4 linked regions of the Drosophila melanogaster genome follow. The protein of the gene in region 2 purifies or fractionates together with the protein of the main gene of each other region. This does not show direct contact. Each region holds a gene or a part of one and is shown on either strand. Other genes may lie near its edges.

The links.
Region 1: the proteins of Lpt (region 2) and Utx purify together in Drosophila melanogaster (affinity purification with western blotting; one study listed by BioGRID). This does not show direct contact.
Region 3: the proteins of Lpt (region 2) and usp purify together in Drosophila melanogaster (affinity purification with western blotting, with the first as the bait; one study listed by BioGRID). This does not show direct contact.
Region 4: the proteins of Lpt (region 2) and trr purify together in Drosophila melanogaster (affinity purification with western blotting, with the first as the bait; 2 studies listed by BioGRID). This does not show direct contact.

What each region holds. Positions count from the first base shown.
Region 1 is NT_033779.5:10,272,375-10,281,109, forward strand, and holds Utx (Utx histone demethylase), read right to left. Parts: upstream 6,438-8,735; 5' UTR 6,325-6,437; coding exon 6,275-6,324; intron 6,223-6,274; coding exon 5,876-6,222; intron 5,552-5,875; coding exon 5,440-5,551; intron 5,178-5,439; exon of another isoform or gene 5,021-5,177; intron 4,788-5,020; exon of another isoform or gene 4,438-4,787; intron 4,194-4,437; coding exon 4,018-4,193; intron 3,739-4,017; coding exon 3,610-3,738; intron 3,549-3,609; coding exon 3,323-3,548; intron 3,256-3,322; coding exon 3,075-3,255; intron 3,014-3,074; coding exon 2,753-3,013; intron 2,693-2,752; coding exon 2,560-2,692; intron 2,495-2,559; coding exon 1,791-2,494; intron 1,732-1,790; coding exon 1,592-1,731; intron 1,509-1,591; coding exon 1,089-1,508; intron 1,033-1,088; coding exon 823-1,032; intron 749-822; coding exon 622-748; intron 533-621; coding exon 338-532; 3' UTR 253-337; downstream 1-252. Other genes in the region: CG34043 (uncharacterized protein), read right to left, coding at 6,745-6,884, 6,986-7,039, 7,146-7,196, 7,259-7,312, 7,679-7,946, 8,007-8,456.
Region 2 is NT_033778.4:23,896,011-23,904,480, forward strand, and holds Lpt (lost PHDs of trr), read left to right. Parts: upstream 1-2,550; 5' UTR 2,551-2,659; coding exon 2,660-3,254; intron 3,255-3,313; coding exon 3,314-3,436; intron 3,437-3,500; coding exon 3,501-3,670; intron 3,671-3,733; coding exon 3,734-3,924; intron 3,925-3,981; coding exon 3,982-5,945; intron 5,946-6,009; coding exon 6,010-6,154; intron 6,155-6,221; coding exon 6,222-6,520; intron 6,521-6,581; coding exon 6,582-6,890; intron 6,891-6,948; coding exon 6,949-7,601; 3' UTR 7,602-7,651; downstream 7,652-8,470. Other genes in the region: CG17658 (uncharacterized protein), read left to right, coding at 1-689; CG5339 (uncharacterized protein), read right to left, coding at 1,108-1,647, 1,705-1,989, 2,045-2,137; CG13562 (uncharacterized protein), read left to right, coding at 7,819-7,960, 8,025-8,231, 8,295-8,367, 8,420-8,470.
Region 3 is NC_004354.4:2,037,395-2,044,519, forward strand, and holds usp (ultraspiracle), read right to left. Parts: upstream 4,918-7,125; 5' UTR 4,653-4,917; exon of another isoform or gene 4,474-4,652; intron 4,251-4,473; 5' UTR 4,067-4,250; intron 3,993-4,066; 5' UTR 3,520-3,992; coding exon 1,993-3,519; 3' UTR 1,404-1,992; downstream 1-1,403. Other genes in the region: CG4325 (uncharacterized protein), read right to left, coding at 5,665-6,019, 6,212-6,333. UniProt on the Drosophila melanogaster protein: Receptor for ecdysone. May be an important modulator of insect metamorphosis. Plays an important part in embryonic and post-embryonic development. Binds to ecdysone response elements (ECRES) such as in the promoter region of s15 chorion gene.
Region 4 is NC_004354.4:1,886,193-1,892,220, forward strand, and holds the start of trr (trithorax-related), read right to left. Parts: upstream 3,759-6,028; 5' UTR 3,584-3,758; coding exon 1-3,583. Other genes in the region: mRpL16 (mitochondrial ribosomal protein L16), read left to right, coding at 4,155-4,203, 4,286-4,351, 4,421-5,037; arm (armadillo), read right to left, coding at 5,638-5,927. UniProt on the Drosophila melanogaster protein: Histone methyltransferase that acts as a coactivator for the ecdysone receptor during development. Specifically trimethylates 'Lys-4' of histone H3, a specific tag for epigenetic transcriptional activation.

The sequences.
Region 1 (8,735 bases), on a different chromosome or scaffold from region 2:
ATTAAATTTATTCATATATATAATTAAAACGCATTCTAAACTTTGGATAAATTTAAAGTTTTTTTTTTTAAATTAAACTATAAAAGATGGGTCTAAATATTTGAAGTCATAATAAAATTGTCATCATAAGGTAAGTTTCGCTACTCAAGTGGGCTCCAGTTTTTTCGACTATCAAACATAATAGCCGAAAAAACTGCTCTGATGGCTTTATTCGAAAAATCCCATCTCTATATATTCGTACCGTTATGTTTTATCAAAACAATAGAGAGTATATTGTACGTTGTAAAATATACATATATTAAATCTGCATTACTTAAAATGATTCCTCGTATTACAACTACTGAGTGTATGCTAGTCCTTGGGTTCTGTGTAAAGTAAACGAATCGTACACGCGCTGCAGCTCAGACAGACGATACTCCTCCAGGCAAACGATTCCCTGGAGCGACGGAGATAGCTTCAGCGCGCACGATAGGCAGTGGACCACATGTCGTTTCTCCTGCTCCTTGATGAACAGCACATTGAAAACCTCAACCTGCAAAGAGTGCACAAATGATTAAATAAACTGCATTCATATCACCTTTGGAAACTGTATAAATATGTTAATAATACTACGCTAAATACCTCGCATTGTCCGCAGTAATGGGATGCTTCGTTCTTTCCGCGTCCATTGAAACGTATTTCCACACCTTTCGATTTGACATACTCTTGTATGTGCAATACGTTTTTCAACGTTTGCAGCAAACACATTCTGAAAATTACAAATTACATATGTATGCCCTATAGTATCTGCATAATGGTGATTCCTATCATTTGCTAACTCACTTTATCAGCTCGAAAAGTTTGGTATCAGACACTTTAATATTCCTTGCAAGATTCCAGCTTAAATGCACCATCGGCACAATGCTCTTGAAGGCCTGCACTTTATTCCACTCATATCGCTCGATGGCAAGAGAATACTGACGGGCAGTCAAGGGTCCAACATTCCACGCAATGTTGTTGCACCAACCGATCGACTGAACCCAATGGACGCATCTGAAAGTAGGTTTGATTGTTAATACATCATCCTTCCTTTCATATTCAGTGCTTACCCGGCATTCACCCAAACCAAGTCACCGGGCTTTTGTATAAATCTATAAACTGGTATATTCTCCTTGTATAAATCCTCCAGGACGGGCCACCACGAGCCGTGCAGATAGCTAATGTTGTTCTTCTCGCAAAGATTGTGAACTCCGCCCCAGTAGGCGTCAGGGACGGCAAACCATTCACAGTCGCCAGGACCGATGTTGATGTTGATTGAGCAGAAGTTGTTGTTCTCTTGGTGGCCAGGCGTCCTACTTCCGGGCACCTTCATGTACAGCTGAACGGTGTTCATGCCCAAAATGACGTGGCCCACGTGTGATAGCATATTGGCAGCGGATATAACTCGCGCAAAAGCTGGCAGTTTTTGTAGCTCTGTTAATTGTGGTTTCCATTTCTTTTCATCGGAGAGGTCCACGTTGGTCCCGAACCTAAAAAAAAAAGCGAAATAAGCATTTAATTTATGTTCATAAAGTTCGTAATGCAGACATAAATGGTTTGGAGTTTCTATTACCTCAACATTTTGCTGTTTATTTTGTGTTTTTTACGTTTGAGAACAATGTTCGAATTGGATACCGAGTCCTTTGAGTCTGAATCCGACATTGCTTGCGAGCCGGGGAAACCTTTATCGCTTTCATCCTGCGGTAAAATAAGCTACACGATAAAGTAAACTTGTATTCATGTTAAAGAGGAACCAACCCAACGAACATTACCTTCAAGCTGTCTTGAAAACTGGATGCCTGATATTGGGCATATTTGGCTATGGTTGTGTGAGACCGATGGGAAATGCAGGCCCAGACGCGCTTACCCTGCGAAGTGTCCCAATTTTCATCGGGAGACTGGTGCACTTGTGTCCGAACCTCAACACTATGGTCCGGGTTGGCTTCCACCAACGTTTTGGTCGAAAAGAGACCGAGATCTAGCTTCAAGACGCCCGCTAAGCCGCGTACAACGGCAATCGGATGTTTCAGGCAAAACTCCTGCAACTGTGGGCTGAACGCGTGCTTCTTATTTTCTAAATGAACAGAGGGTGTGGGAGGCAGGAGTTGATCTCGCGTCAGTTTCTGCGGTGGGCAATCGGGCGGAGATGGCGGCGGCGCATTCACTTGCAAAATGGTACAGTGCACGGGCGGTTCATCAATCGGCAGCAGCTTCACAGCTACCATCAACTGCTTCGAGTCCATTTGTATTTTGAACGTGGTCGAGATGTCGGCGTTGTCACCGCCAATAAAATCATGCCTCGAGTCCTCATTGTTACTCAGTGCATCCTGGCTCAAACGTTCGAGCTTGATGCTCTCATTCTGTTTATAAATATCATTCGAGATGTCGTCGAAGGTGTCAAGAACACTTTGCTCCGAACTTTTGTTGCTCTCCGGCATGGCGTTGAAGTTGCGCTGGTTTAAAGATTCCGAAATGTCTGTTTGGAGTGTTAAAAAGTGATTTAATACTTTAAGATATATACTATTTAAATTGGTCACTTACTTATTAGATTTTGCGCTGATGTCTGACTGTTGTTTTGTGTTACTTCTTGTTGGCTTGTGCCATCTTCCTTAATACGTTTCGAAGGTATGGGACTTTGGCTGAGTTGGCTATGCGGATAAGGTGGTGGCGGTCCCTGTTTAAAAACATGATTTAGTTGATTGCCCACTGATTGGTTTAGGATTAAGGAATTCACCTGTACTGGACTTTGCTTTGTGACCTGTCTTGGTAGCATCTGCGCTGTTTGTTGTTGGCGAGAGTTCATTTCTAATGATATTGGCAGGTTCCAAGCTTCTTCGATTGAACACAGCTGGCGGCGCTTGGATGTAATACTTGGCAATGGTGCTTGACTGAGCTGGCCCTCCAGGAAAGTGATTCTCTGAGACAGGCCTTTCGACAGTCCAATTGTGTCCTTTTTCATACGTATTGCTTGTTTTTTTCGAATTAACGAAGACTTCTTCAAGCAAAACAAGTGTGTTAGGTATTGGAAATGGCTACAATTGCATATATAAATTTACCTGGAATGATATTTGTTTGGTTGCATTTAAGTAGCAAGCATAGGCATCTCGTAATTGACCACAGCTCTCATAAAGTATACCCAGGTTGGTCCACGCGGCTTTATGGTCTTTATCCAGTTGCACAGCACATATGTAGGCTTGAAGGGCATCCGTGGGTTGATTTTGTTGCTGATATAAGACGCTAGAAGTGCATGTGTAGAATACAAATAAGATAGGGGCCAAGCTAAACACATTCATTGTTATTTTACCCGATTGAGCACCAAGTATCAGCATTCCCCTCACTTTTTTCCACCGAGTTGCGATATGCTAGGAAAGCATCATGAACCTTATTGATGCCGGCGTAACACCTTCCTAGTAAATATAATGATTGTCCACTCTTTGGGTCAGCTTCGATTGATTTTTGTAGAAAATTTAATGCGTTTGCTTCACGTTCCTTTTTTTCGCCTAGGCATTCTACGCAATGGTACATCCATCCTATAAGGATTCAATAAAAAGTTATGTCTCTACCAGCTTAAAATATAACTTTTTAACTTACCTAATTGTCGATAAACATCTGCTTTGAGCTCCAAGGAGATGTTTTTCTCATTTAGAAGAAATTCGTAGCCATCCTTTGCCGCCTTGTGCTTGTTTTGAACTTCGTACAAATGCGCGATTTGAAATTTGACTGCAAAGTATTAATAATGAATAAAGTTTAAGACACGGGGTGAACGTACTGCAAAATATTTAAATTCTGAATGAATCATAGAAGTTTGCCTTCATCGTATTACTTGATAATTCAATGTATGAGGACTTTTTGCATATAAGTTGTTTATATATCAATAATAAGATAACATTTTAAGATGATAAGTAAATAACTGAAGAACAGAAAAACCTTTTCAGATCACAGTTTTAATTACACATGAAACTTATATGCAAAAGTTTATAATTATTCAATAGATCTTACCCTGAAGTTCCGAAAAGGTCGAAGGATATGTATAAAGCAGCGCCAATTGTAAATGTTTTAGGGCAATATGGAACTCCCCGCAGTGTTTTAGCATAAGACCTAGACGCAAATGAACTTCATTTGCACATGTAAAATTGGGACTTAGGTATAAAAGCTCCTGAAACGATTTGATGGCCCTGGAAAAAAGTAAGTAAATTAATTTTTTTATTCGTTGTTCTGAATTATTTGTTATAACTTGAATGTATTATTTTAATTTATTAAATTTTGTTTTATATTTAATTTATAGTAATTGTTTACAGTGAGCGGTGTTTACATAAGTGCATACATACTTATGTGCATGCAGTCACGTACACACATGCACGCGTATGTACATACATACATACAAATAACCATTTGAACAAACAAATTCAAGTAACATACTTAATTAAACTAGAACTCCGATGATAAGTGCACAACAGTAAACTTAAATGTTAATCTCCTAAAATATGCCTGCAAAATGCAGGTTTTGTTTATAAATAACAATAGAACTTGCAGCCGTCGTGTCGGCAGACATGTCTGCGTGCACTCAAAAAAACGAGACAGACCGTTTCATGGCTTTTTATCAGATAGAATTGCACTGAGAATCATTGATTATTTGCGTCGGACGCGGTCTGCCTAAATGTTAGCTTTCGAAATTAATAAAATTAAACAAAGAACACATTTTACCCCGCAATTCAACTAACGACCTTAAAGGGGGGCACTCATTGCATTTTGTACACAGACACACGCACACACACGCACCGTGTACATACATGCATGCATGTAACGAGAATTTATGTATTTTTATAACAGCGAATTTGCAAAAACAAACAAAGGAATACAATGAAAACACATATATTCATTTTAATTTTTGGCAATATTACATCGGTTTAATTATTATTATTGTAAGTGTTAATGTTTACAGCATCCATTTGTTTTTTTTTTCTTTAGAACCCAGACAACTATGAAAAGATTCAAAACTAACCAGTAAACGCACTTTTTTTATTCGAAAAAATCTCGGCAGTCTTAATTTTAATTCGTTGTGAATTGTTTACAAATATATATATAATATTAGTGGCAGTGTTGTTTCGTGTAGAATCTATTTAGTAAACAATTTAATATCAATACAATAGGGATGTGACAGGCGCGATATCGTGATTAAATGGGAACGATATGAAAGCGAAACGTATACATCGATAAGAGCCATCGATGATTACAATTGATAAATAAATGTGCTTCCACTGCACATGCATCTACGTTTAAACGATTCATATCAAAATCGCATGTAATGGGTTTTAATTATTAAATATAACTTAATTGTTTTTGAACGTAGCATAAAGATATTTCTTAAATACAACAAATATATTTAAGCAGTTAAAATATTAAAAAGATAAGTAAACTTACCATTTAAAGCACCGAAGTTTAAAATAAGCAACGCCTATTCCATAGATAAATGCATGATTTGTCCAGTAATTGTTTTCTCGGAATCTTAAATACTTTTGGTACGCTGATAAAGCTACAAAAAGAATAAGATATTAAAAAACAACTCAATTCTTTCAGGATCTCTCGTGATGGATTGAAGTGTTATGTTATTTATGCGTCGTACTCTGCAGTTTAGCAGTATTTAATGTTAAAGTGTGTCATTAATGCGGCATTCTACAACTATGTTCCCGAGTTTGGAAACAATTGTTCCACCTGACACATTATGTAAGGTAAAAGAACCAGATATTCACAATATATGAATTTGTGAGGACTACAAGCATCCTATATATCCTATAGATGTCATTTGCAGAGTGCACTGATTGTATCTGGACATGTGCATCTGGATTTATGTATTTACCTTCGGAGTATTCGCCAAGAAGAAGATGCAGGTGGCCAAGTTTGCAAAGAGCGTTAACGTAGTGTTCATCCTGGTGTTTTTCTTCAATGATGGACACCTTTTCCTTGGCATCTTGCTCGAAAGGTTTGGTGTCGTCATTGTTTCGGGAAGATGTGTTTTCCATATGTTCACCTGCTTGAGTTGATGGCTCAAACTTTTGTATAGCATTTTTATTATCACTGCTGTTCTTTGATTCGTGAACCTGACCATTTGCAATGTAGTTTTGTAAGTTTGTGATGGTCTGCTGAACGAGATTCCTTAATTCCGCATTTTTCGAATTGGACAAATCCAAAAAGCCGTAGTATCGACTGAAACGTAAATATTATTAAACAAGATTCGAGCGGGTGGCATTAATCGTACCTATCCAGTTCGCGGATCAGGCAATCATCTTCGAAAGTTAGTTGCCCCATTTTTAAACCAACTGTTAAATCTACTGGGTTTTAGAAGCGTGGGCAAAATACAGCGTAGTTTTTAAAATATTTTTTTATTTATATTTTTAGTTTAGAGATGACACTAAAATATTCTTAGAGATGATACATTTTTCTATCGTCGACGTGTCACGCCTTTTTTGAAGTTAGTTTCTCACTGCGCAATCGATAACGGAACTGGAACGATTGGAAAATTGTGGGAAACTGTGACCAAATAATTTTTATTTTCGCGTTAGCTGATAACAATTTATTATACACCAAATCAATACAGATGCTGTTTACAATTTATGTTTTAAAAATTTGAATCTTAATGCAGTTCTTTTGATACTTTTCAGATAAAATATACATTTAAGTTATGGAAACTGATCTTATTGAAGATCAAAAAATAAATTGAAAATTTAGTTAAAAAAAATGGAAATTTATTGTGCGAGTTATCGCTAGAAGAAAATTAAATGTGAATATCCATGCACAAACTCCTTTGGCCTTAGATGTGTTTGCTCGGTTTTTTAGGAATTCCTTCTCACTTTCAATGTTTTCATTAACTGAAAGATAAACAAAATTTTAGGTAGTTTTTAATTAAAACTATATTATTCAAACAATCAATGTAATATTTAAATATCAATAGAACAATGAATTAACTTACAAGGGTCCTCCGTGTTTAAAAAATCTTCTGAGACGCTTTCCACGTTTACAGCATCTAAAAACAATTACTCGGTAAATAAGTATAGCAAAGGAAAAACAAAAAAATTTAAAAATTTTGTAAAAGTAATTACGAAGTAGAACAGCCGTATTCATTTTCTTACCAGTTTCTGAGTCCGTCAAATCTTCTACCTCAGTTTCAATCTCATCTTTAACTGAAATTAAATATTCAAATTAAAGTTATTTTAGAAAATAAAACTGAATAAATTAGACTTACTGGGGTTTGCTGGGTCTGGAAAATACACCGCATCAGGCTCAACGAATTCCTCCACTGAAAAATATTTAAAAATGTACTAATTAATTATATGTAATTAGATAACAATGAAAAATAAAATTCCTGATGGATTTATAAAAATTTTAGTAAAGTACCTTTGATATTTATTTGATTTTTGATAAATGTGTTAAGATAACCCTTCTTCCCAAAAGAAAAGCGTTATAAATTTTAGACCTTAAAATTCCGGCTAAAAGTGGATCTTTTTAGTTTTATCATAGAAATATTCTTATCAAAATGCAGTTAATCTTTCTCGGGAAAGCAGAGGAAAGTTTCTACGAAACTATTTGTTTCTCTTAATCCGCAAACGATAAACTACTTTTGACAACAAAATAAATATAGCAAATAACTTTCGGTTTACATTACCTATTTCTGCGATTTTTCTTTGACGATAAGGTAGAGATACACTGTAGTTGTTATTTTGAATGTCCGCAATCTCTGTATTCTGTATTATTGTATATATCCAACTTAAATATGGATTTAATTGCGTAAACCTATTTGGGCGCCGAACTTCAAGATTAGATTCCCGTTTATTTTTCAATGGCAAGCCATAGGAAATGATTCCAACTAAATTACTTTCATGAATAACACCATAACCGGGATATATGTTTTCTCCATCCGCATTTTTCCAAACCTGTGGTAGTAATTTTAATATTAATAAAATCGTTTTTCACATAAAAGGATATGTTTTTACGTAAGATTCCACACCCTCCTCCAATGGAAAATCGGTAATATCATAGTCAGCGACTAAAACCCATTCAATATCGTTTCGCTCGGAAAGCGGAAGTTGCGTACTGAGACTTAGGATCGCTATATCATTGTCCAACGATGAGAAATTGAACTGCGGATATACGTCTATGCCACCAACGAGGTATATCAACTCGTTCAAATCTTCGCCTTTGAATGATACCGCCAACTCATCAGCATTTAACAATTCCCTACCATTTACGAAATCGTTATCACTCAATAAACACGATGCTGATGTTAAAACCAAGCGACTCTGAATGATATTGCCATAGCAATGGCCGTCGATCAAATCTCCTTGAGTATTCCTTTTGCGCACAAGGACTTGGTACGAAGGACGAAAGTACTCATTTTGCACGAACGGAAAAAAGCACAAGATAATCAGAGCTACCGAAATCATAGTATCTTTGGCTACGCAGGCGGGAGAATCTTGACTGTCTTCACGGTTTCCTTACACGTTTAAGATAGTAAGCAACCTCAGATGCACAGATGCCGAGAGATATAGCTTATCTTTTTATATAATTTGCTTAAGTACAGCGGAACCCGCATTCTTGGGTCTTAATTCAGTTGCGATAATTGAGCATAAACAGGTGTGCGAAATAACACTTTTTTTTATATATGAAGATATGAAGTGTAACTGAGGAAGTAGTCTGAACATTACGCTCATTATGTGATAACA
Region 2 (8,470 bases):
CCTTCAGCGGCATCGCAAGTCTGTGCCTGGCCCTGTCGCACATTTCCTGGGTCCCAGATCCGAATAAAGCTGTCATAGTCTACGTGGCCGGCGCCACCGAGGACACTTTGCGCTACTTCGAGGACATGCACCTGCGTTTTCTGTTCCTGCAGTACCCAAGCATTCGTAATCTGGAATTACACTTCATTGGAAGAACCGTTGGGCGCATCGACCAAGTGGATATCAAATTCAGCGACAGGAGCTTTGAACAAACCGTGGTGAAATGCTTTTACCCCCTGTCATTTTCACAATATTCCTGTATTCTAAATGTGGATCCCACCTTGATTCTCATCATGCAACCCGATTTCTTCGGAGTCGGTAAAGTAACCCAGAGAATTTCTAGGTATATGAAAAGGAAGGTTCCACTCGAAAACGAATGGAAGCCTTGCTTGTCAAGTGTTATTCGATCTTTTGGTGTTCCCATTTGCTACACTTCGATTTCAAGGGCTCAGGCAATTTCCGATTTCGCGGCCATCACATTGTCCGCTGAGAAGAGCAAGATTGCCATCGAGAGAGCCTACAATATAATGGGCAATCCCTATCGTGAAATATTGCCACTGCACAATCCAGCACCAGAAGATACCGAGAGGATTGTGTATGCCAATAACTACCTCGAGGTTATTTTCACAAGCAAAAAAAAATGCCAATGACTACCAAAGACTATATAAGGCTTAGTTTAGTACACATAATACCTTCGACAATACTGACATTTGTTATTAAACAGCTGCTCGTCAAATACATATTCTAAGTTACCTGATTACTGCCACAAGTATCAAGTTAGATGCATTAAAACTACCCAAGACTGTAGAATAACTACAATTAGTTGATAATATCGAGAACAGTATTCAGTTTCGAACGCGGCTTTGAATGTCGCCCTTTAATTTAAACATGTTTGTTTATCCATTTACATTTTTGGTAATTCTTTAAGAATAAATTGTTTAACTAGTTGATAGCCTACATTTGTAATAAGTATAAATGCTCAGTTTCTCAATGCAGCCACTTAACTCTACGAGGAAAACGGTTACAATAACTTCAGAAGGGTTCTTTTTAGGATGTGGAAGCTTTGATCTAGAATGTCTTCTTGGAAATGACAACAATTAAATCGATTAACCAATAGAACGACTGGTGGAGATCACCCTCGCACAAGTACGGCGCCTTGGTCCATGCCTCCACGCGGTAGCCACAGTTCTCCAGCAGCTCCATAAACCTGGCCGCCTCCTCCTCGAACGACGCCTGTCGCCCGTTGTTCTCCAGCAGCGGGCGCAGCGGCAGATGCGAGGTATTCGTCTCCACGTAGTGCATGTAGGGAAGTACTAAGGCCACAACTGCTCGACCATTGGGAGCTAGTGCCAGGTGAATGTCCTCGAGCAGCTTGAATGAATCGAAGCAGCGGTCCAATACGTTGAGGCACAGAATCAATTCCAGGTTCTGCAGACCGTCTATCTCGGTGATTACGTTGAAGTTCAGCTTCTTCAGCCGATCGCGCATGGTCCAACTGGCCTCGGTGGCGAAGACCCGCAGCCCGGCACTTCCGCTCAGCTCGGAAACGGTGTTGGCCACGCGCAGCGAAATCTCACCGTCCCCGGCTCCGATATCCAGCAACGTGACCTACGATATGATGGCAGATGAGTAGTGGTCAAGACTAAAGGCTTTTACTCATCTTACAGGTTCTTGACCGCTGGCAGGCTGAAAGCCGCCTGCTACTAGCAGCTTGCGAAACTGTTCCTCGGACAGTATGAACATGGAGCCGCGCTTCAGGAACCCGTTGATGTCCGTCTGGGTCATGAAGAACTGCAGGATTGAGCGAGCCAGGGCGTGCCACAAGTGGGTCCAGATGTTTGCCGAAAGCGCCTTGGTGCGCTCCAGCCAGCTCACGGTGGTGGCATCCGGCTCGAGCGGCACGAACTTGGACTGGAATCTCGGCGGCAGCTCGTGGTTCAGGCAGTACCACTGAAATGCATCCAGAATTTAGGAAAAATCATATTGTTTCGGGATTTCGAGTTACCTTCCGAGTGTCTATGTCCTCCAGAGAGTTGTCGTTGTGGAATTTGGCGTGGATTACCCTGGCCAGGGTGCCGCGGGGACGATACACAGCCATGCTAACAGAATAGTCTATAATTGTGCTTTTATTTACATTTTCTACTTCTGTGTGTTTAACTTAGTTGTGCCATCATTTTTCCAGTTTGAAGAACTGGAGTACGGTATTTTTCCAGGGCTGGATTGCAGAGTTGCACTTTGATCAGCTGAATGCGATTGGTAAAGGTATATCGATATGTAGGCGTGACAGCCTAATGTAAGTGTATTATTATTTATAATGTATAATTTCAGAAATTAATTAATTAATTTGTAGCCGCATAAAAAAAATTAAAATATGATGTTATATTTGATTTGCCATTTAAAAGTATAAATACTTTGTAATATAAGGAAGACTTTTATATTTATATCTAATAATTGTACTACTCGCTCTGCAAACGAACGCACATCGTTCTCGACAACATTGACGCCTGTTCGATAACATTGGGGCGCGATGCACGTTGACATTTTATTTAGCTGTCGAGTAATGTATACAAAATAAGCGGCGGCTATTTTTTGTTATTTTAATGAAACGCATCAATCCGCGATGAGCACGAACGTTGTTGTGAGCATGGAGGAGAAGGCGGTGGCCGACGACCTGCCGTACTTCCCGGAGAAGTTTCCGGGCAAGGTGTGCTGTTTATGCAATCTCGGCGAGAAGAGTGCCTTGGGCCAGGGCGAGATTCTACAACTGAAGGCGCCCGCGCCCGCCGAGATCAAGGATAAATATCCGACGGATCGGCTGAGGGAGGACGGATCCAGGCTGTTATACGGGCCTAAGCAGGCCGCTTCTAGTTCGGGCGATTGTCACTACGAGCTGGACAAGATTGGACAGCCGGACGTCGTGCATCCCGCCGAATTTCTTGACGAGGGGTTCGTCTACGTGCACCGCATGTGCATCATGTGGTCGCTGCGCAAAAGTCAGATAAGCGATGCAGATGGCGCGTACTTTGCCACCCACTTCGCGGAGTTCCTGGAGCAAAAGTGCAACTTTTGTGGACGCTACGGGGCCTCCATCAACTGCAAGATGAACTGCCGCCAGGTGCACCATTGGCCGTGTGCCGCCGCTGCTGGGTGCCTTCTGATCCTCGAGAGCTTTACGGTCTTCTGCACGGAACATTTGAGCCAGGTGCCTGTGATATGTAAGTGATTCTTGGGCAGCAAACTCTCACAGAAACTAATGGAAACAAATGACTTACAGGCAGCGACAATAATGTGGAGTGTCTGTCCTGCTCCTCGCTGGGGGATCTGTCCAAGCTGATCATGTGTAGTACCTGCGGAGACCACTTTCATTCGACCTGCATTGGTCTGGCCAATTTGCCGGGTAACTACTGTCAAGTACCATCGTACCATTGGTTTACATGTTTACATGTTTAATGCTTCCATAGATACGCGTTCTGGGTGGAACTGCGCCCGTTGCACAAAATGCCAGATTTGCAGGCAGCAAGACTCGAACGACACCAAGTACGTTAAGTGTGAGCAATGCCAGAAGACTTACCACGCCTCCTGCTTGCGACCAGTTATCTCAGCCATCCCCAAATATGGCTGGAAGTGCAATGTAAGCAGATATTGACGGATATTAAGTGTTATCCAATACTTATGGTATTTATGTTCCTTCTAGCGCTGTCGCGTCTGTACGGATTGTGGTTCAAGAACTCCTGGCGGCGGCAGCTCCTCCCGCTGGCATAGCCACTACACAATCTGCGATTCGTGCTATCAGCAGCGGAACAAGGGCTTTTCCTGCCCGATTTGCCAGAAAGCGTACAGGGCAGCATCGCACAAGGAAATGGTCAAGTGCAGCTGGTGCAACAAGTACGTTTCACTCGCTTCTGCCTGATTAGTCTTGCTTATTATATGGATTCGTTTCAGATTTGTGCACAGTACGTGTGACGAAGAGGCGGATTTAACGGCCTACCACAAGAAGAAGGAGCAAAACCCAGATTACGACTACGTGTGTCCGAATTGCAAGAGTAATTCGTCGGGCCCGGGATCATCCCAACAGACAATCGACTCGATCGTGCTGTCCGCCATGGATTCGTCGTCGGAGCAACTGAGCCTCAAGGAAATCGAACTTGACCCGCTGGAGGGCAAACCCACAATGGATCCATCGAGCGATGAGCTCCACAAGCTACCCACCGGCAAGAAAAAAGTGTGCCTTACGAGTGTTCGCGGTAGAAGCGGAAAGTTCGTCCTACACCGCATGGGTGTGATGTCGCAGATCAACAAGAAACGCAGCACCCGAGGCAAGGGGCGCCAGCTTGCGCTGCCCACCATCTCGAGCGATCGCTGCCTGAGTCGCAGCATGGAAACAGATCTGACCAGCGACAAAAAGCTGCTGCTCTGCTCGGCGCGGGATAAGTTTATCCAAGCGCAAGACATCTGCGTAATGTGCGGCTCGCTGGGCATTGAGAGCGATTCCGTGATGATCACCTGCGCACAGTGCGGCCAATGCTATCATCCGTACTGCGCCGGCGTGAAGCCTTCGCGAGGCATCCTGCAGAAGGGTTGGCGATGCCTGGACTGCACAGTGTGCGAGGGATGTGGCAAGAAGAACGACGAGGCGCGCCTGCTCCTGTGCGACGAGTGCGACATTTCGTATCACATTTACTGTGTGAATCCTCCGCTGGAAACCGTGCCCACGGGCAACTGGAAGTGCTCGTTCTGTACACTGTGCCAGAAATGCGGTCGCAATCCCACCGAGAAGAGCGAGTTCGGGGACTCCAACATGCTCGAGTGCCCATCCTGCACCAGCCAATCCTCGTGTCCCGTCTGCAAAGTCTCGTACAGCAACGGCGAGATGATCATCCAGTGCGAGCACTGCGAGCTATGGGCGCACTTCCACTGCGACTCTGTCAATGCCCAGCTGACCATTGACCACTACGACAACAATGTGTACAAGTGTTTCAAGTGCCGCTGCTCGACGAGGAGCACTAACTCCCTGGCGGATGCCAAGTTTGGTAACGAGGATTCGCTGGCCATAACTCCCCAGGGCAGCAAACCATTTGTGCACATCACAGCCTCCTCCGGGCCGTCTTTCGATTCTAAGAGTGGTGCCGAGCGAAATCATCCTACCTTATCCGGCGATATGCCCGAGTCTGCTCCAGAAGCGCTCCACTGGATTGACGGAGTGTGCCTGAGCGAAAGCGGATTGGGCATGATCAAGTCATTGTCCACGGAGATCAAACGCAAGCGCAAAATGCGACAAGCCCTCGGCAATGGCAAGGATGGACAATTGGAGGCCGCCGCCGAGGAAGCGCTGGAAAAGTACAAAGACGGCATGGTCTGGGATGGGACGGAGAACGCTATTCCCGAGGGTTTCACCATCTCCATTAACGACGAGGGAGTGAACATATTACGCAAGAAGCGACAGCGCAATCTGCAGAAGCTGGGCATTGGTGGATTCTCCGTTCGCAACCGAGGTCTCAAGAAGGACAGCGAGGAGACGACGGCCGTTGACCAAATAAATTCCCTTATGACCATGGACAAAAAGAAGAAAATCATACGAAAGAAGCAGAAGAACAAGCTGATTGAAGCCTATCCCGTGTACTTGCAAGAGGCCTTCTTCGGAAAACCTCTGCTGGAAGGTGGAGAGCTTGTCATGGCCGATACAGATTCCTCTGACGAAATTGATGCGTCCATGAAGGTTTACTTCACGCGGCCCGAGGGCAAGAGTCCTGCCAACCAGGACACACTGGCGGTGAACAAGAGTCCAGCGAAGACCGTGAAGAAAGTTAAAGCTGAGTTGAAAACTGAGAACAAAACTGTTTTCATTCAGCAAATGCCCATGGGAATCCAGAACAAAAACGGAACGACGCCAGTGTCTAATGTTTTTGGTAAATGTTTAACCAACCCACTGACCACTTTATTCCCAGGTTGTATCGTTTACCATTTTTGCAGATCCCTTGCAAGCGGAGATTTCGAACACTGTCTTTGCTAACCGGCATCCTTTGGATGCGTTGGCTTCACCAAATGTTCCGGAACTGGACATGGCTAACTCTGTTAGTACGGTTCCATCAGCTGAAGTCATTGAAAAACCAATGCGGTGAGCCTCATGTCCATATGCCAGTCTATTCTAAGCTTATTAATTTGTTCTTTTTTCTTTCTCAAAGGGAATCACCTGCGGTCCTGGTCGACAGTTTCATGGTCCCCAACCAGTTGCCACAGGAACAGAAGTTTCACAATCAGCTATATTTGGGCGGAAATACTTTGGTTAATCCCGCCCAGCAGCTTCAGTTCCGTCAGCAGGCACCACAAAATGCCAATAAGCAGAATATGCAAACTATAATGAGCCAAGTCGTTTTGCAAACCGAAAAGAGACCAGAGGAGGAGCAGAAGGTTGTGGAGCCCGTGACGGAAACCCTGAACGCTGGCACTCAAAAGACGGCGGAGAAAATGCGCAAGGATGAGGGTATGAGGGTGCATTTAAATAGTGTAGGATTCAAATGCTCATCACCCCATTTGTTTTGCAGATCTTGGGCTCATGGCCACCATTTCGGCCGTGCTGTATGCCAATACTGAGCATCCCAACCTGAAGGAGTTGTTTCCGATTTGGAACGACCGCTGCAAGCAGATTCTGAAGAGGTGGCGCTCGCTGTGCAACGAGAAGAAGGCGCCGTTCTTGCAGAAGGCCAAGGACAATCGCTCAGCACTGCGGCAGAGGCGGGAACAGAACAAAATACCTATGCCACCGAAACCACAGAAGCAGGAGGAAATGGGAAGAGTGTGGAAACAACCGCCCAAGCTGAAGGAAGACCAGCCGAACATGTTTGTCACGTACAGTAAGTGCTGCAGCTCAAGACTTGTTTTAGTTGCTCTAACCCTTGTTTTTTCGTCTAGATGGAAACGCCTACGATATGGGCAACTATGTTGGTGGCTCGGCGCAGGCAGCGTCCAATAATCCCAATCCGCATCACGTGATGCCGAACGTTAACGATAATCTGGTGATTAAGGCCACGATGCAAAGGACTCAGGTGCACACGACAGCAGCCAGCACCTTGAAAATGACCACCGTGGACAATAGGCTGGAGTTGAACACGGCGGTGTACGGCACGGAACCCATTGGCGACAAGAAGCTCAGGAACCTGCTGCAGAAGAACAGCACGGAGCCGATGCTCATGGGGGCCAACTCGGACTTGTTCTTGGGCAACGATGTAATGCGGCTGGGAATGATGCAGAACACACCCATTACGCAGAACAATCCCATGCTGAGCATAAGTGGAAAATCTCAGCCATCTGAAGGCAGGTCCTTGGAGCAGGATGTGAAGTTGGGCGAGCCGCAGGAGGCAACCTCTTCCGCCGTGGAGTTGGAGAATGTCGGATTCAGCGACCTTCTGGGAGGACTCGGCGAGGGCGACGACGACGACCTACTCAAGTCGCTCACTTCCGAAATGGGAGACGACTTCAATATCCTGGAGTACGCGGACCCAGAACTGGACGTCAATGTTCTCAACTCCCTAGATTTTGATGACAATGAAAAGTGCTCTACATAGGAGAAGCGGAATCGTTTAAATTGAAATAAAGAAAATGCAATATTTAATAGAAAGCGCCACTTTTGAATGCAGCCTCTTTTGGCGCCAAACCCCATTCTTCATCGATTGCCGTATACCATATCGAATTTGTATCTCTTCGGCACAGAAAACTGGTTTTCTACGCGGTTTGCACTGTTGTTACTTTTTATTTTCAGCTAACCATCCAGATGACCAGATAATGCAGTTGTTCAGTAGTTTCCACTCAATCCTAATTGTTTGCTGTGTTCTCTTAATTGATGGAACGCACTCGAAACTGAATCTTAAATATGCCATTTTGAGGCAAAAGCAAGCAGCAAAGGCAACGCAAAATGACACTTTGGGTATGGATGTGGGAGAAAGTTTCTGCTGGACGAGCGTATCATGTCGATGTTTTTGTTTATGAAGCCCACCAGCAGAGAATCAAATATGATGCCCAGAAGACCATGAAGGTGATGTTCTACAAGAACAACACCAAAACCATGGAGACTTCGGCCTACGACGATGCCTACGATCTCAGTGGCTCGGGTTGCTCGCCCACGGACAAGTTTGCCATAGTTCTGCATGGATGGATCCAAAGTTGTTCGGACGAGTGGGCGCTGTCGCTTATTGAAAGTGAGCATTTTTTGCATTTTTTTCAATGCCAAAGTTGAAAGCTACTCGAAATATGCATTTTAGGACTCAGTTACTACCGCGGCGGATGCGTGATATGCATAGACTACAGTGTGGTCGCCAGTTCCTCGTACATGCGGTGGGTAGTAGTAGTAGTCTGACCCCAAATTCTCATTATCCGACTTTTAAAGGCTGTACACAAACTTTGACACCCTCACCGGCGCCATATCGTCCATTATCCT
Region 3 (7,125 bases), on a different chromosome or scaffold from region 2:
CCGCGGTTCAGACAGCATCCACCCATAGTCCCCTCGTGGGTCTTTGGCAAACGCCCCCGCATAACTACGAAAATAGCAAATTGTTAATTTCGCTTCGAAAACTCTTTTCCAATACACACACGAAATCGCAAATCGTCGAAGGAAATGGTGGTGGGTATTTGGAGGAGGAGGGGAGGGGACACATGATTTTATTGGCATGCTTTCATGGTTTTTCCGTGCGAAACATTTCATTTTTCATTCCACATTTTTTAACACGCTGCTACATAGGACTATTTGTGTGGGCTTCTTCTTGTCGGTGGAGAGAGATGAAATTTATGAAATTTATTAAATATGCTCGCCACACACAAAATCAAGGATAGCTATTAGCTAAACCAATAAAAACCACCCACAATAAGTGTGGACACACTGCCGTCTCTCTCTAACATTCTACCCCTCTCTTTCACTCTGTGTGGGAGCTTTCAAAAGCTCTAGATCATTTGTGTGAATGGAGAATCTGAGAATACGTTCATGTTAAATAGCCAGGATCTCCGACGGCTAAGTATTGTATCCGTCGACTTGTCCCAATTTACAGATATTCCTTTGGGGCGAGATATACAGATAAGATACAACGATATAGAAAGAGATAGAGCCTCAATTTGGCTATTTATAGAACATAATGTGCGTCGTCAGCGGCGAGTTTTGTTCTTTTTTCAAAAACAATATCTATTCTTAGTCGCTGCTTGTGCGTTAATACCATATTTTTGTAAATACATACTAACATACATTCCCGCTGAGACATAAATTTTATAAAAATTGACCAAATGCCATCTGAGAGGCCGCAACATCAAGGTGAGGAGTGGGGACCATCAGGCGATGGTCCACAAACCAAAAATCAATGCCTAGGGGACGCGAACAAGGCGTACAGTGCGGTTCGAAAGCGAAAAGCGATCCTTTCATAATCACAATAGAAGGGATTTCTAGTTGGTTAACATTTTACACATTATAAGTACAAGATCGTGAAATCGTTGGGATCATCTTTTGAATGAAATGAATTAAATTTAGACTGGCTATTTTCGAAGAGTTTCCGCAGTGAACTTTATTTATTACCTCCACCTAATTATATCACAGATATATTAAAAAAAAAAAGAAAGCCACCCAAGGGGCCGGCAGAATAACTAATTTAACTAGTAATACAAAACTTGTTAGGCGGAACAGAACATAGTATGATTTATAATAATAAAACTGAAATATTGAAACATCCGCGCAAATAGGCATGGATGTATATACATTTCCGCCTTCGAGAAAGTCACTCGATTTCTTCTTACAGTCCTGAAACGCACCGCTTATATACGCAAATAAAGCCATATATTTGTGTGGACAATGGGATTAATCGCAGATCCGCAGATAAAACGACCATATATCTTGTTATGCAGTTTATATTTTTTATACATAGATATATTTTGTTGGTTTTCGTCGGTGATTTTTGTATCTCGCATCTAATTGATAACGTTTTGGGTAAATTTATGTTAAAAAGTAATTACAATTGATTTAGAACGGGGCCAGCACCGCAGATATGCGCCTGCTGACATATATATTTATGCTGAATTTGTATGTTTACATACGTCTGTAGATCATAACTATGCATTAATTTTAACCGTTATTTTAATATCTTTACTCGTTTAGCTTTAGTTTAACTTTTACTTTTACTTTGCTTGTGTGCATTTTCTCGTTCGTGTTTTGTGTTCTTTTCAAGTTTTGGATTTTGTTTGTTTTTCGTTTACTGGGACATAAACGTCGAGGAGGCTAATCTTCATCTTAAGGAAAACATTTTCTATATCAATAATAATAATAATATTAGGTAATAAAAAAAAAATAAACAATTACATACACATTTTGCGTAATATTAGGGGGCTTTTGTAGGGTATAAGGGATAGAGAGGAGAAATGCAAACAAACGCAATCACAATGAAACATTTTTCGGATGGAGAACGGGGGAGACTTTAGAGTCGGGACCCTACTCCAGTTTCATCGCCAGGCCGGGTGGCGGCGGCGCCTCCAGCTGCTCGAGAAAGAGCTCCTCCAGCGGCCGGTCGCTGGTAATGCGGAAGAGGAACAGGTGATCCTGGCACTTCAGGCTGATCGATCGCAAAGCGGGCAGACGCAGCAGCAGTTGCGCAAAGCGTCCATCGTCGCCCGGATGTTCCAGGCGGCAGTGCTCGTCCAGGCAAGCGTACACCTTCTCGCGGCACATCTCGATCTCCGCCCGGCTCTTGATCCCGCGTATGTCCGGGTTGTACAGTATGATGGCCTTCAAGCAGGACAGCTCGCGTCGGTCGAGATTCAGCCGCTTCATCTTTACACTCAGCTCCGACAATATGCGGTCGAAGATGGCTGACACACCGGCTTTGATCGCACTGTTGCGATGGTACGAGAAGCTCTGGTTGAGGAACAGCTGCTGGGGCTGAAGGCCCGGTGATCGTCGCTCAAAGGAGCCATCGTGGCCTAGTCCACCGCCCCCGCCGCCGGCACCGCCGTCATCCAGCGAAACGATGCTGCACCAGGCCACGTTCGCAATGAGCAGCTCGATCCAAGCGGCTTTCAGCAGAATCACCTGGTCGTCCAGCGGCACCTGGGCAAAGTGCGGCATCATGCGCGCGTATTCGACCATCTGGAAGAGCTGTTTGTTGACCACTTGGCACAGGGCCGACACGGCACCCTTGTAGTCCGGCTGGACTGTGGAATAGGGACCAACGCGCAGGAACGTCAGTGCACGATCGCCGCATTGGGTCTCCGCTCGCTGCTCGGCCTCTATGATGCGCTCGATCGAGAAATCCCTGGACACGCTATTGGTCATGAAGTCATCAGAACCGTTGCCGCTGCCCATTCCGCCAGAAACGCCGCCTCCTCCTCCTCCGCCTTGAGAGCTGGATCCGCCTACCGAACCTGGACCGCTACTGCCGCCTCCGCTGGCGCTGAGCCTACCCGCCGCATTGCGGGCGCCGCGTTGACGCTCCTCCTGGACCGCTTCGCGCTTCATGCCGCAGGTTAGGCACTTCTGGTAGCGGCAGTACTGGCAGCGGTTCCTCTGCCGCTTGTCTATGATGCAGTTGCGGTTCTCCCTGCAAGCGTATGTGAGATCCTTGCGCACTGTGCGTTTAAAGAAGCCCTTGCAGCCCTCACAGCTGTACACGCCGTAGTGCTTGCCACTGGCCCGATCCCCGCAAATAGAGCAGAGGTGCTTGCTGCCGCTCAGCGGATGGTTAGGCGGATACTGCTGCTGGACTGCAGCGGCGGCAGAGCCTCCAGCCGAATTGGGCGCCTGCGCCATTTGGGCATCTCCAGCGCTGTTGTTGTTGGAGCTGGCGGAGTTGGAGCCGGGCAGCACGTGGACCATGGACATGGCCTGCATGAAGGGCACGGGACTCTCGGCCTTGGGCGAAAAGCTGCTGTTGTTGCTGTCGTTCAGCTGCGAGATGTCCGGCTTGACCTCCTCCTTGATGTGGCTCAGCCGAAAGCTGGCGTCCTGGTCGCAGTTGTCCATCCTGGGCTTGTGATGTGGTGCTGGGTATATTGGAGGAACTGGGGGCAGCGCCTCCTCCGCCTACCGGTTTCTTCTTGCTCGTTCTCTTCGTGTGTATGTGGTGTGTCTTGGCTCGCTTTCGCCTCTCTGTTGGGGTTTCACTTTGCCAACGCCACCGTGTCCGTCCGTCCGCTATTGGTCCGTTGGGCCAAGTGGAGCAGGTTGCAGTTTCGTTGTTGGTGGGGTCGTTGCTGCATTTACATAATCTTGAGCCGATGGAGCAGCGCACTTTATTCGCTCGCCTCCAAACAATTGCGCTTTTTACCAACAAACAAAGAATGCCAGACTTTCTGACTAATGAATAAATACCTTTTTTCGCGTCGACATTTTTTCTCAACAAAGACAATCTCACCACAGCGACGCAACTCACCAACGTAGGGATGGACTGTGACACAGGTTGCGTCGTCACGAGTCACAGTCACGACTGTTAAACACTGTATAAAATTAACAACGGCGATGGTATTACCTTAAGTCATATGGTATATAACGCATCTATAAAATTACATACTCCTCTTTTTAATTAATGCACGACATAAGTACATATATCGGTCTCCCAATTGAAGCACGGATTCGTGACTGGGCGCAATCGCATCTCTAATTCACCACAAAGTGGACAGGGCTGTTTTCCCACTCACAGAAACAGTTTTAAGTGGGCGTTAATGACCCAATTAAAGCGCTAATGCCCATCGCACCTGCCGCAAAAATAAGTGTTTTTACTTTGATAACCAATGCGCAATCAATCAATTAATTAATTTAGTCGAAAACCAGAAAACGGGAGTAGCGACAGCCCTGGCGGCGCCATTGCAAAACTCACCGCACCTACGGCGCATGCAACCCTGAGTCAGTCTGGCTCCCCTCCTCACCGCCTTGCAAACCACACAGTGCACAAATAATTTAGCGCCGCTGCAATTATGCAGAATAGAAATGCAAAATGGAGACGTGAATGTGCGCCAATTTCACCGCTGCCGGCGGCAACCTCGGCCTCAAATCGCAAACGCCGTCGCCGAGAATCGAGCGGTTAGGCTGCTGAACCGTGAATCCCAAGACCAAACGGAACCAGAATTGGGCGAAATGCAAATGGAAGTGCAACTTACTTGCAGCCAGTGGCTTTTGATGCGCCGCAAGGTGACGGTTGTTTATTTACTTTTTTCCTTGGCTATCAGTTATCAGTGCTCGCGAGCACACACACACACAGGCACGTCACTGACACGACAACACCACACGACGCTGATTTAATTTGTTGCAATCTCTATTGTAATTGTAGTAATTGAGTCCATCCCATCATCACAAAGAGACGCGACGCGGTAATTGGCATTCGCAAGAAGAAGCATTTCGCGAAACAACAGCTGACAGCGTGGTGAGAAAGCGATTGCGGGGGGCGAAGAACTGGTTTGTCTGTGGTGAGTATACTGTCGCGGTGAGTTGCCTTGGTTCGGTAAAAAACAATGGCACATTATAGGCTGTTTCCACTTCGCTTAATGGTCAGAAAATCTGAAAATTAATCCGTCATGGATATTTATGTATTTTATATATTTATGCGATAGTTAGACCGCAGTAAATTTCTAAAAAATGAATTTCCGCGATGACCAAGAAGCAGGGATTCAGTAATTCAAGAGCACCCTAACATCTGCCTTAAAATTCGATACCGGTTTAGAACAAAAATGGGAGATTCAAAATTTATATAGAAAAAAATTTGCTTAACACTATCAAATTAAGAAGCTTATTTTAAAACAGTTTAAGGGAATGGAAATAGAGTTTTCACATCAAAATTGACATTCAGGACATATATTCTTAATATTTATTTGATTATTGGTATACAAAAAATACACTAATATGTGATATTTTCTATCAGTTTAATTTTCTGATATCGCAATTTGGGGCCTCAGCCCTAAACAATTTATTTCTATTTGGGTCTATTATCTTGTCAAACCCTTTAGTTGCTAACCCTGTACCTACCGCTTCCTTTATAATGAAATGTATCGAGTTCTTTTGTTTAGCTCAGCCTTATTACGTTTTGCCTGTCGGTTTCGCAAATATTCGGTTTTGATTGGTTTTCAGGCGAATAGTACGATAAGCAAATGCGACTCGTTTGTTTGTTTACGGCTTTTAATCAACATCCGAATCCGAACATTCATGTAGTTTGCTGAGTTCAGCATTGAGGACAGTAAGGGCTCCGATCCGCTGGTTAAGATATTCGATCTCTTCTCGGTACACGCCCGTCTCGTAAAGTAGATTCTCGTACTCCCTCATAATTCCAATATAATCGTCACTGCTGCTGTTGTCGTTACTGTTGTTGTTGTTGCTGCTGCAGCTGCTGCTGCTGCTGCTGTGACCTTGGCTCCGATTATGGCCGCCCCAACTGCCACCCTGAGCCGATGCACTTTCCGGAAACTCCTCAAAGTCCAGATAAAGCTGAAAGTAGGCGGCATCCTGGCTGCGGCAGATAGGGCAAGTCCTTGATCTGCAAAGCAGACGGAATCCGCGTATAAGACAAAACGTTTGAGCTCGGCGATAAGATTTGGGGCACTGCCACTGATTTAAATCACTTTTGTATCATTTTCATTTCTGATTGGTGCATAAATTAGAATATTATATCAGTGGCACATTTCATTTTCGTTATAGCTCTCAAGTCCTTAGGATCACTTTTACTTACTGCTTTCTCCAGTGGTCTAGGCAGTCCTCGTGGAACGCGTGTCCGCAGCTGCCGGCTTGTATATTGTCCGAGGTGCGAAACCGCTCCGAGCAGATCGTGCAGATGACGTTGTTACGGCCCATTCCGCTCCGGTTGACTTATACCTAGGTCGATTCGATTCGCTCCGATCCAATCAGGTTCGATCTCCCTGTGCCGTATTGTTGCTCGGCCGGTGACAGGGGACTGAATGAATGCAAGTCGCTGAATCGAGCGTTTTGCTGATAAGCGTCCAGGCAGCCACAGTACACTCCACTCGGTCCTCCTCTTGTCGTCACTCGTCGGCCCTCTCGAGCACTCCCCTGCACTGCCGCACTCCAGTGCCAGCCCACCTTAATAACCCGCCCCACAAATGTGGGAATTTGAGCCGCTAAATGGGGGCAACGATGGCCTACGCCCAGCTAAAACCATGTGAGATAAAGCTCCGTAACAAGATTCGAACATTTAATGATCCGATAATCCAGAAACCTAAAGTTCATTTAAACTATCAGCTTGGCAAACTTTCAGCTCCGCAGTTTGAGAACAAAGAGCACGTCATTTCAAAATATGATTAGCCCCGTATTTCTTGCTTTAAAAACTGCAAAGTGCAACATAAGCATAATTTTGTTGGAGATTTAAGCAACCACCAATTTTAAACATCATTAATAAGTGCATTTGTATTTATGTAAACAATTATATTTTTATTTATCTTCATATTCGATTTGCTTTTATGTTCTTTCAAATGGTCGTGATGGGACTAACAATAGGTTCATTTACACAGGCCTACGTTGGAATGGAATGTTTGTGCTGAGAGTAGTGGATAAACAATTAAGGAATGACTTCGGTTCCAAGTAGAATTACAGTCGTGCAGAGCCACGATCTGGTGTCTTTAAGGGGTA
Region 4 (6,028 bases), on a different chromosome or scaffold from region 2:
CAGACAGGTGTCCTTGCATAGTCGCCTGCATTTGCGCCTGCATCTGCACCTGGCCCTGGCTCTGGTTCTGGATGGGTTGTGCCTCGTTCGGGACACCGGATTTCTTTACATAAGTGGCAATCGCTGAGATCAGCTGTACTTTGTCGGGAGTACCTTGTCCAGTCGGAGTTGTTGGTAGGGAGGTGCTTATGGGAATCTCTGCCTGTTGCTGGATCTGCTTTTCGTCCAGTTGTGGGTGCATGGGGAGCTTGCGTTTTTGAGGCTCTCCAGGCTTGAACGGTATCTTTGTGGTGGCTACACCTCCTTCTAAATGGTTATTGGTCCATTGCGCAGACACAAGGGGACCTCCGGAGTGAGGTGCAACTCCCGCTGCAGTAGCTCCCTGTTCCGAATGAAGCGGCGGCTCCGCTTGCTCTGGCAGCGATTCGTCGCCCTGCTCCATGGGTAGTGACATAGCTACCGCCTTGGGCTTCATCTGCAGTTCCTTCGGAGCCGCTTGTTTGGTGGATATGGATATGGTGACGTTCGATATAGGAGCAGTGGCCATTTCGTAAGGCGGAGGAGGTAGTAGTTCAGCCGGCTTCGAAGTGGCTTCCGTCACTAGTGTTTTAGCAGCAACGGGTCCTGAGATGAACGACGTCTCCTTCGACACAATCTGCACAGTCTGCTTGACTTGGTGGGGTGACGGTTGCAGCTGCTGCGGCTGGTGTAGTTGCTGCTGCTGCTGCTGCTGTGGTGGCGGTGGTGGTGGAGGCGCCTGGTTTTGGCTCTGATTCTGCATAATTGCTGCTGGCTGATCGGATTTCTGCTCCAGCTTTGCCTCCCCTCCCACTCCTGGTGTGGTAATTGCGACCGCACTAACAGGTAGAGCCGTCGCTGAGGCGGTGGCTACCTGTTGGCTGCTTCCTCCGCTAGCTACTGTTGTGGTGGTGGTGGACGTGGCCACAGATCCACTGCTACTACTACTACCTGCCGCCTGCGTGGCAGTGGGCACCGGAGGAATCACCGGACGTGCCAGTTGATCCTCCAAACTTCTGACCTTCCCCATGCTGGGCGCCCGTACGTTGATAACCTTGCGGGCGGAAAGAGGTGCCGAAGCTGAGGCGGAACCAACGTGAGCCGAAGTGATGCTTATCTGGTTGAGGCTATGACTGCTGCTGTTGTTTTGGAGCAGTTGCTTTAGAAGTGCATTATCCTCCGCTGCCGAGCGTTGGTTGTTCATAGGTGTGGCGTTCACTGTAGGATTGGGTGTGCTGGGATTCGAGGCAGTTGAGGTAGATGTGGCCATTTGAATTTGATTGGCGGACTGATTTTGAACCTGGTTAATAGCCGTCATTGTGGCATTGGCGTTCAAACGCTTCTCCGGCGTGCCGATCTCCTCAGCCCGCTCCTCACTGGTCGGAGTACCAGTGCTATCCTTCACAACCGCCTCCTGTTTGACCAGTAGCTTTGCTTTAGATTCGCTGCCAACTTCTTCCAGCTTGACTACGTCCGGAGCCAGACTAACGCTGAGTTTGGTGGGCGTATTGGCGGTCGTTAGTTTCAGCTGCATTGAAGCTCCCGAGGTAGCTGATCCGGAGTTTGCAGAAGATCCCGCCTTGTCTGCACTAGAATCCTGAATCAAAGCATGATGCATCTGCAGCGCCGCCTGACTGGACAACGTGGTTGTAGTTATCATCTTCGGTTTTTGCTGGGCCATGGTCGTCTTGGACAGCACCAGGGATATGTTCTTGTTCTGAATGGAGATTATTGGCCGCGTGCCCATCATCGGACTGTTTATGCAGATGGTCCCCGCCGAAACGGAAACGGTGGAGGTGGTGGCCAGATCTGAGGCATTCCCCGAAGCCATGGTAAACGTCACGGGTGTGCCTGCTCCACTGCCTACCGCGGAGATTGATTGGCTTTGAGCAGCCTGTGAGTGCTGCTGCTGCTTAAAGATGTTAAAGCTGGGTGGACAATTGAGTGTATTCTTGTCGAGCGGCTTAATCACCACGCTGTTGATGTTGGTGAACTCCTCCGGGCCTCCAGTCGATTCCTGGGACTTGCTCTTGTTGAGAATTTTTTGAAGGTTCTCCGAGTAGGCTGTAATCTTTCGAGGCGCTGGCGCATCGTCTTCCGAATGGGCCGCAGGTCCCACAGTTGCGGAATCCTGAACCATTGCGTACGTTTGGCTGGGGTTGGTGGTGGTGATAGTCACTATGCTGCCTGTGGGCGGAGCCAGGCCTCCACCACTGGTCACCTGCAGCTGCTGAAGCTGCTGCTGCTGTTGGATCTGTTGTTGGTGCTGCTGAAGTTGCAGCATCTTTTTGCTCACCACCTTGGTGGCCACAATTTTGGTGTTCGCCGGCTTGATCTGTAGCCCCGAAAACGAGACAATGGTGCCGCTATTTTTTGGCCCGCGTTTGATAAGTTTGGTAAAGTTGTGATGTGCATGAGAATGGACGTGCGGGTGGACCTGCTGACCACCGCTTTGCTGCGCAGCACTCATTACGGTAGTCACCTGACCGCCCGGCTGCAGCAGTTGCTTGCTCTCTACAATCGTGGCTCCTCCGGCTGTGGCCGCTCCACTAGCGCTCATCAGCGGCTTGAGCAGCGGCACCGATATAGTCTTGTTGCCAATCGACACTTTCGCCGTGGTCTGCGTTACTTCCGACAGCTTCTTGGCGTTAACCATCAGCTGGGTTTTCATCTTGGGGTGAAGATTCACCCGGTTTAACAATGTTGTAGTGGGCGTTTGGCTACCAGTGGCCGTGGTATTGAAGATGTTGTAGTTCGTGTGACCGGATTTCTGTGTGAGGATTGTAGTGGTGCCGGCTCCACTGACTCCTGCCGTTCCGTTGTTAGCGTTTAAAATAATGGTGGAGGTAGTAGCTCCAATAGGCGTTCCTGCTGGTGTTCCCGTTCCGGTGGAGTTACCCACAGATGTAGAGCTATCCGCGCCGCTGGCTGGCATCAGTACGTAGTCGAGGTCCTCAGATTTGCCGGAGTTTTCAGCATGATCCTGCCCCGAGCCACTGGGCTCGATGGAAATGACGGACGCGGTTGACGATGATGACGAGGCCGACGATGAGGCACCCTCCTTTTTGGTAAAGCTGGTAAAGGCTGTGTTTCGGTGTAGCAAAGGGTTAGATTGACTGTTCCTTGGAGTGCTGATTCTGTACTCACTCTGCTTGTCAGCGTCCTCCGCCTTGATGGCACCCATCTCAGTGCCGGAGCCGAAGTTGCACACTATGATCTGCTGATCGCGGGCGTCCCAGACGCCGTCCGCCGTCTCGACATCCTGCGGCTCCGACGCAGCTTTTACCTGCGCCTTAGCCTGCTGTCCACTCCGCTGGTAGAGGAGCTGCTGCGGCGCGGTGCTCGACGCTTTGGCGGGCAAACTGGGCGCTGCCGTTCCAGTTCCGAGAAGCAGCTCCGTCTTGGCCTTCTTGCGCGTGGGATCCTCCGCCGGAGTGGCGGTGTCGTCGCCGCTGCGCTTCTGCAGGCTGACCGCATTGAAGGCAGCGGCGGCCACGGATGCTACTCTTTCGGGTTTCGCCTTTTCGGCGGCACCAAGCGATGTTGTCACCTTCGGTATATTCATAACAAACACACAAGTGGAAACGCGGAACGCCGGATGCGATGCGCTGCGTTTCGTGGGACGGGAAGGGCGGCGGTCTAGCTAGCTAGGGCTCGCGCGGCCTGCTTTTTTTTTTACCGAGCGAAAACATGCACGATTAGTCAAAAAAATTTTATTTTCGTGTATGCAGAGCAGTGTTACCAGATGGTAAAACGACCATTACCCTGAAACGTTCTTACCCATCCCTGGTTTTCCACTCAGAAACCCACCACTTTTCCCATCCCATTTCAACATATCGCCATGGCGGTTGCAATCGAATAACGTTTGTACAGCAATCATTTTTCGTTAACTTCAGAAGTTTTTAATACATAACATAATTATTGTGTTCCACGTGCAATATGGCACATTTTCAACTGCAAGAATAAACCATAGTCTGGACAGGGCCGTCAGCTCACTCGACCAATCGGTGGTCTATCGATATATGTTTTTAGCACCACATTTATTAGCTCGATCTGGCAACGGTGGCCGTTGATGCAACACATCTTTGCACAATACAATTTTATAAATAAGTAATATATTTTGACATAAACTCACCATGCTCTCATTAAAGTTAGTCTCCCAGCTCTTTAAGCAAAGCCTTGCGTGTAAGTTGCAGTGGCGCTTCCTGCCTAGCCACATCCAATCCGATAACAGTTTGCAACAAACCACTTAAACTTTTCTTTGCAGCGGGCAACATGGCAATTGTCAACACAGCCGGTCTTAAGTATTTCGCTCCGCCTATTAAATACCAGAGTAAGTAGTTGCATTTAAATGTGCACAATGAATTTAGAGCAATAAATGAATGAATGTGGGAACCCCCAGATGTGGAGCAGCCGGAGAGACCCAAGCTGAGGGTCATTGAGCGCCAGCCCCAGCTGCCGCCAAACATCCGTCCGCCAAAGATGCAGAAGCGCCTGCGATACATGCGCGGTCCGGAGATGGTGCACAACACGCTGCTCCATAAGCAGTACGCAATCGTGGCCACTGGCGGAGGGCGCCTGCGCTGGGGCCACTACGAAATGATGCGTTTGACCATCGGACGCAAGATGAACGTCAACACTATGTTCGCCACATGGCGCGTTCCCGCACCCTGGCAGCCGATCACTAAGAAGGGCCAGGGCCAACGGATGGGCGGCGGAAAGGGAGCCATCGACCACTACGTGACCCCCATCAAGGCCGGTCGCGTCATTGTCGAGATAGCCGGCAAGTGCGAGTTCGTTGAGGTCAAGCAGTTCCTGCAGCAGGTGGCCAACCAGCTGCCCTTCCAGGCCACCGTCGTTTCCCAGGAGATGCTCGACGAACAGCGCGTCGCCGAGGAGGAACAGACCCGCCAGAATGAGAACCCCTTTACCATGAAGTACGTGATCCAGAACAACCTCAGCGGCTGCCACCGTTGGCTCTCGCCCGTGGACCACAAGTGGTTCGGCAAGCACCTGTAGATGTATAGCTTCAATTAATAAAGCCATCCTTCGTTAATCTGTTACGAAACTGTTTCAAGTACTTTTGAAAACTGGAAATATCTTAAAGTAGGTTCGAACTTCGAACTTAGGGCTCGTTGTTCCAAGCCGTGACTCTGCGGCACCCAATTGTGGAGCAAATAAGAAAAACGCCATATGAAGGGAAATGTACGAGTTCTATTGCAAACATTTGTTTAATTTTCCATTTCGTTTACGTGGGTAATATGTAATGCATCATATAATATGTTTTTCTTGCCGTTTCGTTCGCATTATAATAAATGTATAATATTATGCATGTATGCGTGTGTGTATGCTTTGTCGCGGGGTATGGTGTGTGAGCAAATAGCCTTCTCCCACGGACTTCAGTTCTGGAAGCAGAACTTTGACCTGCCGCAGCTCCTCGTATTTGTCAAGTAAAATCCACACCTTCGTTGATCTAGTCAAGTTTCGGTGATCGCGATTCCGGGATCCGGGATGGAATCAAAGCCGGTGGAAGAGGGCTATTGTGCAGGGATGGGAATTCGTGTGTTTTATGTTATGGGGTCGAATGGATACTCGACCCTTACCCTTAGCTCGGCTTGTCTAACAATCGGTATCGTACCAGGCAGCCAGGTTGTTGTTGTCATTGGGTGGCGTCGGCATGGCGTCCAAGTCAAAGTTCAATGCACCGGCATCAATCTCGCCAACGTCCATGTCCATGGAATAGGGCGAAGTTGGTGCGCCGCTAGGCGGAATGGCGCCGATGTTACCACCGCCGCCGCTAGCTCCGCCTACAGCTCCACCATTGCCGGGAGCACCGCCAGCACCGCCGCCGCCCACTGGGCTGCTGATCTCCAGACCCTGCATCGAATCTATTGGTAGAGTATCATATCCTGTGAACAAACGAGATGGGCAAAGAATGATAGGGAATATTGTGATTAGTGGAGAGGATTTACAATCTCCGCCAGCCGTCAACTGGCAGATGGTGCGACAC